2 linked regions of the Arabidopsis thaliana genome follow. The protein of the gene in region 1 interacts with the protein of each later gene in a pairwise test. Each region holds a gene or a part of one and is shown in the gene's direction. Other genes may lie near its edges.

The links.
Region 2: the proteins of AT4G18220 (region 1) and FLA2 interact in a protein complementation assay, tested with the Arabidopsis thaliana proteins (one large-scale study listed by BioGRID).

What each region holds. Positions count from the first base shown.
Region 1 is NC_003075.7:10,075,958-10,081,393, forward strand, and holds AT4G18220 (Drug/metabolite transporter superfamily protein), read left to right. Parts: upstream 1-2,680; 5' UTR 2,681-2,770; coding exon of another isoform or gene 2,771-2,810; coding exon 2,811-2,841; coding exon of another isoform or gene 2,842-2,887; intron 2,888-3,010; coding exon 3,011-4,152; 3' UTR 4,153-4,405; downstream 4,406-5,436. Other genes in the region: PUP10 (purine permease 10), read left to right, coding at 218-248, 397-1,538; AT4G18230 (UDP-N-acetylglucosamine transferase subunit ALG14-like protein), read right to left, coding at 4,564-4,740, 4,918-4,977, 5,077-5,220, 5,339-5,436.
Region 2 is NC_003075.7:7,490,338-7,495,919, reverse strand, and holds FLA2 (FASCICLIN-like arabinogalactan 2), read left to right. Parts: upstream 1-2,839; 5' UTR 2,840-3,110; coding exon 3,111-4,322; 3' UTR 4,323-4,693; downstream 4,694-5,582. Other genes in the region: AT4G12740 (HhH-GPD base excision DNA repair family protein), read left to right, coding at 1-45, 131-228, 315-850, 927-1,342; AT4G12735 (uncharacterized protein), read left to right, coding at 1,735-1,917; AT4G12731 (uncharacterized protein), read left to right, coding at 2,560-2,742. UniProt on the Arabidopsis thaliana protein: May be a cell surface adhesion protein.

The sequences.
Region 1 (5,436 bases):
GAAAGAGAAGAGATATGGTTGGCATTTACTGAATGTGGGGCCAAGAACAAAGAAAACTTAGACGGTGACCGATTCCTAATCCCAGAATATATAACTTAGCATATCTCACCCATATCAAAGGAGCAATCACTTGGTAGCATTATCAACCAAGAGAATTGATAATAAGATACGTTAGTTCCTCCTTGTCCATCTCCAAGGTGGTGATTCCACATCCACCATGACGGCGGATCAAGAACTACAAATCATTGGTGAGTAAGCATAAACCAGTTTGTGGTGAACGTCCTATTCTTTCATCTTCAAAAAAAAAAAAGATGGTTATGATATTTTATAATTCAATATATGAAACGATCGACAACAAATAAACTAATTTTTGCGTTATTTTCACTCACTTACCAGTTCGGCAGGGAAAAGAACCAAATCCAACAGTTCAAGATGAAAGAAATTCAGTCAGTAGCAGCCAAGCAGAAGTATCTCACTCTAACACATACAAACGGTGGCTCAGGGTGACTTTATATACATTCTTTGTCATTTCAGGCCAAACAGTTGCTACAATTTTGGGCAGAGTATACTATGACAACGGAGGAAACAGTAAATGGCTAGCAACGGTAGTTCAACTTGTTGGCTTTCCTGTGCTACTTCCATATTATATCTTGTCATTTAAAACACATGCAACAACTGATAGAGATGGAAAAAGAACCTCACCTAGGAACCGTGTATTGGTTTACGTAGTGCTTGGACTTCTTGTAGGAGCAGATTGCTATCTGTACTCCATTGGACTTCTTTACTTACCCGTTTCTACCTATTCCCTGATCTGTGCATCTCAGTTAGCCTTCAATGCTTTCTTCTCTTATTTTCTTAACTCACAAAAACTTACCCCTATCATTTTAAATTCTCTTTTCCTCCTAACTATATCTTCCACCCTACTTGCATTCAATAATGAGGAGACAGACTCCACAAAAGTTACAAAAGGAGAGTATGTCAAAGGTTTCATATGCACCGTTGCTGCGTCTGCTGGTTATGGTCTAGTCTTATCCCTACAACAGCTAGCCTTTCTAAAAGTCCTAAAGAAGCAAAATTTCTCAGAAGTTATGGATATGATAATCTACGTGAGTCTAGTGGCCAGTTGTGTTAGCGTGGTGGGGCTTTTTGCTAGCAGTGAGTGGAAAACTTTGAGCAGTGAAATGGATAACTACAAACATGGGAAGGTATCCTACATTATGAACCTAGTGTGGACAGCTGTTACCTGGCAGGTATTCTCCATCGGTGGCACAGGACTGATCTTCGAGCTCTCCTCTCTATTCTCAAATGCAATAAGCGTTTTGGGACTCCCAGTGGTTCCTATCTTGGCTGTAATCATTTTCCATGACAAAATGAATGGGTTAAAGGTGATTTCTATGATCCTAGCTATTTGGGGTTTCACTTCCTATGTCTACCAACAATATCTTGATGACAAAAACTTGAAGAAAAATCATGAAATCACAACAACAGAATCCCCTGACCCACCAGAAGCAGAAGAGTCAACTTGGCAATCAAAATAAGCTGATATTTTGAAAGATGCTGTCCCGCAGTTTACAGACTCAATCAATCTAGTTAAGTAAACTTACTTTACTTATCGGCCTGGAGGCATCCTACATTGAAGAATACACAATACATTTTTGATGCAACTAATGTAAAGTCTCAGCTTGAAATTTTTTGCATCATTGTAACAGGAAGTAGATTTCATTTAAATAAGTAGTGAATGACTTTGGTTTAGTTTCAATTACGATTACCCAAATTACATTGTAATCTCAGTGAACCAACAATCTTAAGTTTAGAACAGCTGATTACAAAAGTTCATCGTTTAAACTTGGGTTCATAGCAGCTAAAGATTAAATGTAACTCAACCCTGTATGTAACAAGAACCTGTAGGCAGATTGATAAAAGTAGATATTTATTTAATAAAAAACCATGTCAATTTTGTGAGTGTGACACCTGATAAAAATTAACCCTTAGCCATAACTTAAAAAGATTTCAATGCACTATTCCACTTTCTAGTTTTACCTGAAACATTGTGAAACAAGGACACACAGAAAATCATTTCTAATGAAGAAAGAAGAAATATTAATCAGACAGGTCCAAACATCCTTGGTGAAACAGAGCTTTGTACAAAAAGTAAATGACCAGAAATAATACCATTTGGCAGTCTCCATCTTAGCAGTTAATAAAGTGACTTCCTCTGCCATCCAATATTGTGGTGCAAATGTCTTCTTTTGAAAAGAGAAGCGAGACATCATCTCCATAAATGTGTTTCTAATCCACATGCCTGATCTCATAAGAGAAAGATAGTCAGACGGAACAAGCCAAAGAAATTAAAGAAGACGAATAACTTTCAAAATAGACATCCTGACGGTCATACAATCTTACAACTTGTGTGCATGCGTGTTAAGTTTGTGTCTATGCATATGGCTGATGTGTCACACAGGTATAAAATACTGAGTGACTAATGGCTACACATCATTTCCTTCTTGATTTGACTCGACTCATCTCTAGATCAACAATAGTGACAAAAGAAATTAAATTCACAGCAAGAGAAGATATACAGTTGGCATTTACTGAATGTGGGGACAAGTACAATCAAAACATAGACGATGACCGATTCCTAATCTCTAAATATATAGCTACAGCGTGTCTCACCCATATCACAGAAGCAATCACTTGGTAGCACTAGTAACCAAGCAATTTGATAATAAGATACCTAATACTTAGAATCTATTCAGAACATTGTTAGTACCTCCTTGTCCATCTCGAAGGAGGGGGATTCCACATCTACTATGAAGGGGGATCAAGAAGTACAAGTCATTGGTGAGTAAGCATAAACCAGTTCCTCGAGAACCTACTGGTCTTTTATCTTCAAATAAAAGACGAAAAATATGGTTATGGTATCTTATTATTCAATATATCAATATTTTTCATGTGTGACAACAAATAAGTCATAATCTAATTTCTTGCGTTATTTTCCATCACTCACCAGTTCAGCAGGGAAAAGAACCAATTCCAACAGATCAAGACGAAAGAAGTTCGGTCAGTGGCAGCCAAACAAAACTATCTCACTCTAATACATACAAACGGTGGCTCCGGGTTGCTATCTATACATTCTTTGTCATTTCAGGCCAATCAGTTGCTACAATTCTGGGCAGACTATACTATGAAAATGGAGGAAACAGCAAATGGCTAGCAACGGTAGTTCAGCTTGTAGGCTTTCCTATTCTACTTCCATATCATCTCTTGTCAGTCAAAACACATACAACAACTCAGAGAGATGGCAAATTAACCTCACTTAGGAACCGTGCATTAGTTTACATAGTGCTTGGACTTCTTGTAGGAGCAGCTTGCTACCTATATTCCATTGGACTGCTTTACCTACCTGTTTCTACCCTTTCCCTGATCTGTGCATCACAGTTAGCCTTCACCGCTTTCTTCTCTTATTTACTCAACTCACAAAAACTTACTCCTATCATTTTGAATTCTCTTTTCCTCCTCACTATATCTTCCACCCTCCTTGCATTTAATAACGAGGAATCAGATTCCAAAAAAGTTACAAAAGGAGAGTATGTCAAAGGTTTCGTATGCACCGTTGGTGCATCTGCTGGGTTTGGTCTACTCTTATCCCTACAACAGCTAGCCTTTCGTAAAGTTTTAAAGAAGCAAACTTTCTCAGAAGTTATAAATATGATAATCTACATGAGTCTAGTGGCCAGTTGTGTTAGCGTGGTGGGGCTTTTTGCTAGTAGCGAGTGGAAAACTTTGAGCAGTGAAATGGAAAACTACAAACTTGGGAAGGTATCCTATGTCATGAACCTAGTGTGGACAGCTGTTACCTGGCAGGTATTCTCCATCGGTTGCACAGGACTGATCTTCGAGCTTTCCTCCCTATTCTCAAATGCAATAAGCGCTTTGGGACTCCCCGTGGTTCCTATCCTGGCTGTCATCATTTTCCATGACAAAATGAACGGCTTAAAGGTGATTTCTATGATTCTAGCTATTTGGGGTTTCGTATCCTATGTCTACCAACAATATCTTGATGAAACAAACTTGAAGAAAAGTAATGAAATACCAACAACAGAATCCCCTGACCGACCAGAAGCAGAAGGGTCAAGTGAGCAATCAAAATAAGCTGTTACTTCAAAGATTGTGGCACACACAGTTTACAGACTAAAGCGAGCTGATCAAGTAAACTTACTTTTCTTTATTGGTATGAAGGCAGCCTACAATGAAAAATAAACATAATAGATTTGTGATGCGACTCAAGTGAAGTCACAGCCTGAAAATGTGTGCATCATTGTAACATGAAGTATATTTTATTTAAATATATGTTGTGCACGATTCTGGTTTAGTTTGGAATAAGATGACCAAAATCACATTATAAGCTCACTGAAATAGCATTAAGTCATTAACAAAGTCAAAACAGCTGATTACAAAAATTCATTGTTTAAAACTCAATCCTGCATATAAAGAGAAGGTGTACACTATGTAGCTTTCTAAGTTTTTGTAATATATCTAGGTGTAAGTAGAGTTCCAATCAGCTTACATCAGGCACCCAACATAGTGAGCCCGAGGATACTTCTTATGCAGTTGTGGCCATTGAACAAAGAATTGATCAGCTATTCTCAACTTGTAAAGCAACAATCCACTTAATGAGAGCTTTTTCACTCTTGCTACACTCTCAACATAAAAGATTGATGACCATCTAATTCCCAGCACCTGTAACCCAAGATGAAACAAGCACTTATGGGAATTCTAGATGTAATGGAGAAACCATGACTAAGAATAAACAAAACACATCCTCTGTTTTTGGTCACAAGTCCATTCAAGGTCATCCAAAATGTAGAGGAAAGAACTGCAAAGAATCTTGATAAAATATTTCCGAAGTGTGTATACCTTGAATAAAAAGGCGATCACACACAGAGGAATACAGGTCCCAGGACCATTGCAAAGAATCTGAAAAACTTCAACCAAATCTAATCAATAACCTGATTCAAATGGTTTAATAAAGAACCCTTGAAGAAAGTCTAAAAAGCATTCAGATAAAAATCATACCACTTGTGGTCTGATCCGGATCATTAGCCACAGAGCGTGAAGAATAGCAACAATGGTAGTCCAAACAGAAGTCACATAAGACTGACCAACTTCACGACTCCGGTAAATTTGCATGAACTGTGATGATGCTTCCTTAACAGCAGGCTATGCCACAGTCATACCAAGCAAAAAACACACAAGAAATAAGTAATAAGCAATAGCAAAATTCAAAGAGGAGGGACAAAACTCAAACGAAATTGAATTTAAGGATTTTTAACTAAACCTTCTCAGCTAGAGAATCTTCAAAACTACGAGCTTTCTGGAGACTCATGTTATCTGTAGCAGCAGCAATGTAAAACCTTGGTGTAAATCTATCCTTCC
Region 2 (5,582 bases), 2.6 Mb from region 1:
GGACAGTACACAGCCGGAGCAATTGCCTCAATTGCTTTCAATGAGGTGAGTCAGTTTCATTTTTTTCAGTCATCAATGTAAGACATCTAAGTAATTATCTTTACGTCTTTTGACACTTATTATGAACCAGGCAGTACCTGTTGTTGATGGAAATGTGATAAGAGTGCTTGCTAGATTAAAAGCCATCTCAGCTAATCCAAAAGACCGACTTACGGCCAGGAATTTCTGGTGAAATAACTTTTGTATTTGCTCGAATGTTTCGCTATTGAGACTATACTAAAAGAGAGGATAAAGAAATCATTTATCTTTGTCAGGAAACTAGCTGCTCAGCTAGTGGATCCTTCACGCCCTGGAGATTTCAACCAATCTCTGATGGAGCTTGGTGCTACACTATGCACTGTATCAAAGCCAAGTTGCTCTTCTTGTCCTGTTTCCAGCCAATGTCGTGCATTTTCACTTTCCGAGGAAAACAGAACGATTTCCGTGACAGATTATCCTACAAAAGTAATCAAGGCCAAGCCAAGGCACGACTTTTGTTGCGTTTGTGTTTTGGAGATACATAATCTGGAGAGGAACCAATCAGGAGGTAGATTTGTTCTTGTAAAAAGACCCGAACAAGGTCTGCTTGCTGGTCTTTGGGAGTTCCCATCTGTTATATTAAATGAGGAAGCTGATTCGGCAACAAGGAGGAACGCAATAAACGTCTACCTTAAGGAAGCATTTCGTTTTCATGTAGAACTCAAGAAAGCATGCACTATAGTTTCAAGAGAAGAACTCGGAGAATTCGTCCACATATTCACTCACATTCGTCGAAAAGTTTATGTGGAGCTATTAGTTGTACAACTTACAGGTTTGACCACTATCTATCTCTTTCTTTCTAGGTCTCTTTTTTACATATAGTTAGAGAAACTAACAAGAAGTTACAGGCGGAACCGAAGATCTGTTCAAAGGTCAGGCAAAGGACACTCTAACATGGAAGTGTGTGAGCAGTGATGTTCTTTCTACCTTGGGACTGACATCAGCTGTTAGAAAGGTACCTCCTTTTCGTCTTCAACATATTAAAAGACTATCCTTGGATGTGATGGTTGAGAAGGAACAAATTTTGGAGTGCAGGTGTATTCAATGGTTGAAGCACACAAGCAAGGCTTATCTGTTTCTCATGTCTCATCAAATAGAACAGCCATATCGAGGAAACGAAAATTCTCATGATCTCCTTCTCACACTTTTCTTCATGTTGCTTAGCTTCTATAGTTCTTGTCTAGCATTGGGAATCAAATTTGGTGATCTTGGTTTGAAATTGAACAGCTTAGTTTCTACTGAGAAAAGTGACGGTGATGTGTGATCCCTCCAGAGTCCAGGGGTTGATTATGTATTTTGGGCTAACAAATATTAAAAAAATGGATTGTTAAGGCCCAACTTAAGCCCAGAAATAAATTCAGTCAGTGGATTCATATAATCGCGTGGACTCTTTCTTCCAAATGATTTACATAAAGAGTCAAAAGTCCTTGAACTTCACGTACGAAGACTTGTCAAAAGGCATAATTAAAACGGACAACGAAACTATTCACTTATTAAGCTTGGCCGCCAAGTTATAATGTCACTTTCCAAAAAAGAGACGTGTACAAAGAAGATTCAGTGACTTTCTTCACCATCCCCTTATATATACATTATCTGACATGTATAGTAAGCTCAAATTAACTTAAGAACTCACACTTAAGTTTTAAACCTCCAAGGATGTCTCTCTTCACGCTCTTCTTCGCTTGCTTTGTTCCAAAATCTGGTTCAAGGATTAACACAACCGACAGTAATTTGGAAGTCTTGTCTTTGAAGAAACCCAAAAGAAAAACCGAGTCCATAAGAACTCCTACTATCGTCGTCTCTTATTTTCCCGTAGGCTCCAACCTTTCTCGTCTATAGGAACTAGGAAGTAGGAAGGATAAAAGTGAAATTCTGTAGTTATGATCACAACCAAGAAAATATATGAGGCTGATACTATTGATCCAGTCCAATCTTGTTTATCTATGTAATAGACCAATGAAAGATTCTGCTTGTGGTCGACACTTTTTTGTAATGATGATTTTGTTTTGGGTAAGTTTATGTATATACAGTGGCACAGAGACAGAATAACTATTTATTGATATAAATATTATTTTTTAGTCAAAACTTTCTTACTTAATTGAAAATGAAATAAAATATTTAGCAGCAAATTATATCTTATAAACTCACATGCTTACTCATATCTTGTAATCGTTTTATCATTTGCTTCGTTTTATGCAGTGTTAATAACATTTGCAACGGCAAATCGTCTTTTGAGTAAAACATGTATTGATTCTAACGATTATAGTACAAACAGAAAATATGTTTACTCAATTGCTATATCAGGGTCAGTTGCGGAGTGGTTTGTTTAAAAACCACTCTACCACTATAAATATTTGTAAAATGATGTCATTAATTTTTTTTATAATTATGCTTTACAAGCTTTAGTTTTGGACCGGCCTGACTTTAGGCCAAGATTCAAATTAATAGAAAACCTCGCACTTAAGTTTTACAACTCCAAACATGTCTCTCTTCACACCCTTCTTGGCTTGCTTTGTCCAAAAATCTGATTCACGGGTTAACACAACCGACGCTAACTTGAAAATCTTGCCTTTCAAGAAACCGAAAAGCAAAACCAAGTCTCCAAGAGCTCCCACGATCGTCGTCTCTTACTTTCCAATAGGATCCAACCTTTCCCGTTTATAGAAATACGAAGATGAAAGTTAAATTTTGTAGGTATTTAAATTATACCTAAAATTGGTAAAAATAAAAATATACTATACTGTTACAGTTAAATTTTGGTCATGTCTACGTATGTACCTAGAGCCGAATAAAATATTGAACCGGGCCTTAATATTTCCTAAACACTAATGTGTTTCTCTCGTCGACACTTACTTTCAAATGTGACCCAGACTCAAGCTATGTAGAGCCCACTTACCTGCTGCTGCGCTGGAAATATGCGAGACAGCTTTGTTCATATAATCTATTTTATATATCTTTCATTATTATAAGACTCCTCTCCAAATGCTACCACACAATTCCTCTATCAAAGCCGCCCAATCCTCCACCCAAAAATGGCTTATCTCCGGCGAGCAGCCACCGCATTGGTTCTCATTTTCCAGCTCCATCTCTTTCTCTCTCTCTCAAATGCACATAACATAACCCGAATCTTGGCCAAAGACCCTGATTTCTCCACTTTCAACCACTATCTCTCAGCGACTCATCTCGCCGACGAGATCAACCGCCGGCAAACAATCACCGTCTTGGCCGTCGATAACTCAGCAATGTCCTCCATCCTCTCTAACGGATACTCACTCTACCAAATCCGCAACATTCTCTCTCTCCACGTCCTGGTCGATTACTTCGGCACCAAGAAACTTCACCAGATCACCGACGGCTCCACCTCCACTGCCTCCATGTTTCAATCCACCGGATCCGCCACCGGAACTTCTGGATACATCAACATCACCGATATAAAAGGCGGTAAAGTCGCTTTTGGTGTCCAAGACGACGATAGCAAGCTCACAGCTCACTACGTCAAATCCGTCTTTGAAAAGCCTTACAACATCTCTGTTCTTCACATCAGCCAAGTCTTAACCTCGCCGGAAGCAGAAGCTCCCACGGCGAGTCCCAGCGACCTCATCCTCACCACAATCCTCGAAAAACAAGGGTGCAAAGCTTTCTCCGACATCTTGAAGTCAACCGGCGCCGACAAAACGTTCCAAGATACCGTAGACGGAGGCTTAACGGTGTTCTGTCCCTCCGACAGCGCTGTCGGTAAGTTCATGCCGAAATTCAAATCCCTTTCTCCGGCGAACAAGACTGCGTTAGTGCTTTACCACGGCATGCCGGTTTACCAGTCGTTACAAATGCTTAGATCAGGTAACGGCGCCGTTAACACGTTAGCGACGGAAGGTAACAACAAGTTTGATTTCACCGTTCAAAATGACGGAGAAGACGTGACGCTGGAGACGGACGTTGTGACGGCGAAGGTAATGGGGACGTTAAAGGATCAAGAGCCATTGATAGTTTACAAGATCGATAAAGTGTTGTTGCCTAGAGAAATCTACAAGGCCGTTAAGACGTCCGCTCCAGCTCCTAAGTCGAGTAAGAAAAAGCCTAAGAACGCGGAGGCTGACGCCGACGGACCTAGCGCCGATGCTCCGTCAGATGATGATGTTGAGGTGGCTGACGATAAAAACGGCGCCGTATCAGCGATGATTACTCGAACAAGTAATGTCGTAACGGCCATTGTCGGGCTCTGTTTCGGAGTTTGGCTTATGTGAAGTGACGTGGCATTTACCTCGCTTTGGGAATCTTGTTTTCCTTTTTCTTTGTGATCTGTCGGTTTAATTTATTTTACATATTCTTTTTTTTGTTCACGTTGATACTTGGTGTGGAGATTTGGAATAATTAATTGTTCCACTTGTGTTGGATCTGATATGTTTTATTCTAAAAAAATGTGATGATCATTCAAAAGAGTGATTGGTACGTTGGAATCACGTGTATCTATAAAGATAGTGTCGGTGGTAGTCGAAATAGTGTGAGGCTGTGAGCTGTAAGATGCATGTTACATCCTTTGTGGTCGCTTGGATTTGACCCATGATGATGCTCCATCGTAACTACACTAATATGAAATATAGTATACTTTCAATTACAGAGGAAATCAGAATAGGGACAAAGATTATAATACGAGATAAAATGAGTGTTAGTTCAAACTTCCGATTATAATGTCGTAATATCTTTTAACCATATGTGTTGCATTGCACATAGTAATAAGGGCTTTAAGAGGGATTAAATGTTTTTCTATCTCTAGGTTGGGCATCTCCAACAAAAATTGTATTATCAGCTCCTACCTAATGTGGTGATATTCTTATTAGATATACTAGATCTTTCTTGTTCCATCAATCCATAATTAATAGTGTTTTGGACATGTAAGTTTAGTTAATCTCTAATCCGGTTTACAAATTGCGGTTTAGGTGTAATTAAAAAAAACAATCATGATTTAACTTATTAAATAAAAATCGGATGTATTTAAGAAATTTAGTGTGAGATAAAAATTGATTTTGTTAGTACCTACTTGTAAGAAATGTAATTATTTTATAACAAATGTAATTATTTTGAAGGATACTAAAATAGACATTTTATTGCTTTAAGTAATGTGCAAAACTTCAAAACATTTAATGCCACAACTATTGAACGAAGCTTTATTCACCCTTCTATTCACCTCCTTTTGCATTAACCAATAAAAACATGTCATGTCAAATCTTACTTAAATTACATAATAAATTAAAGCTATAATTATAAATCTAAACCGATATATAATCTCGTTTAATTACAAAATCTAAACCCTAATTCTCCTTTGTAAACCCAAACCTTCATTTAAACTCATTTAATCGTAAGAAAAAACTAAACCCTAATCGTATTTTCAAAACCCAAACCGACATTTAACCTCGTTTAATTGTAAAATCTAAATCTGTTTATAAACCTAAACCAATATTTAATTGGTTAATTGTAAAATCTAAACCCTAATCGTACTTTCTAAA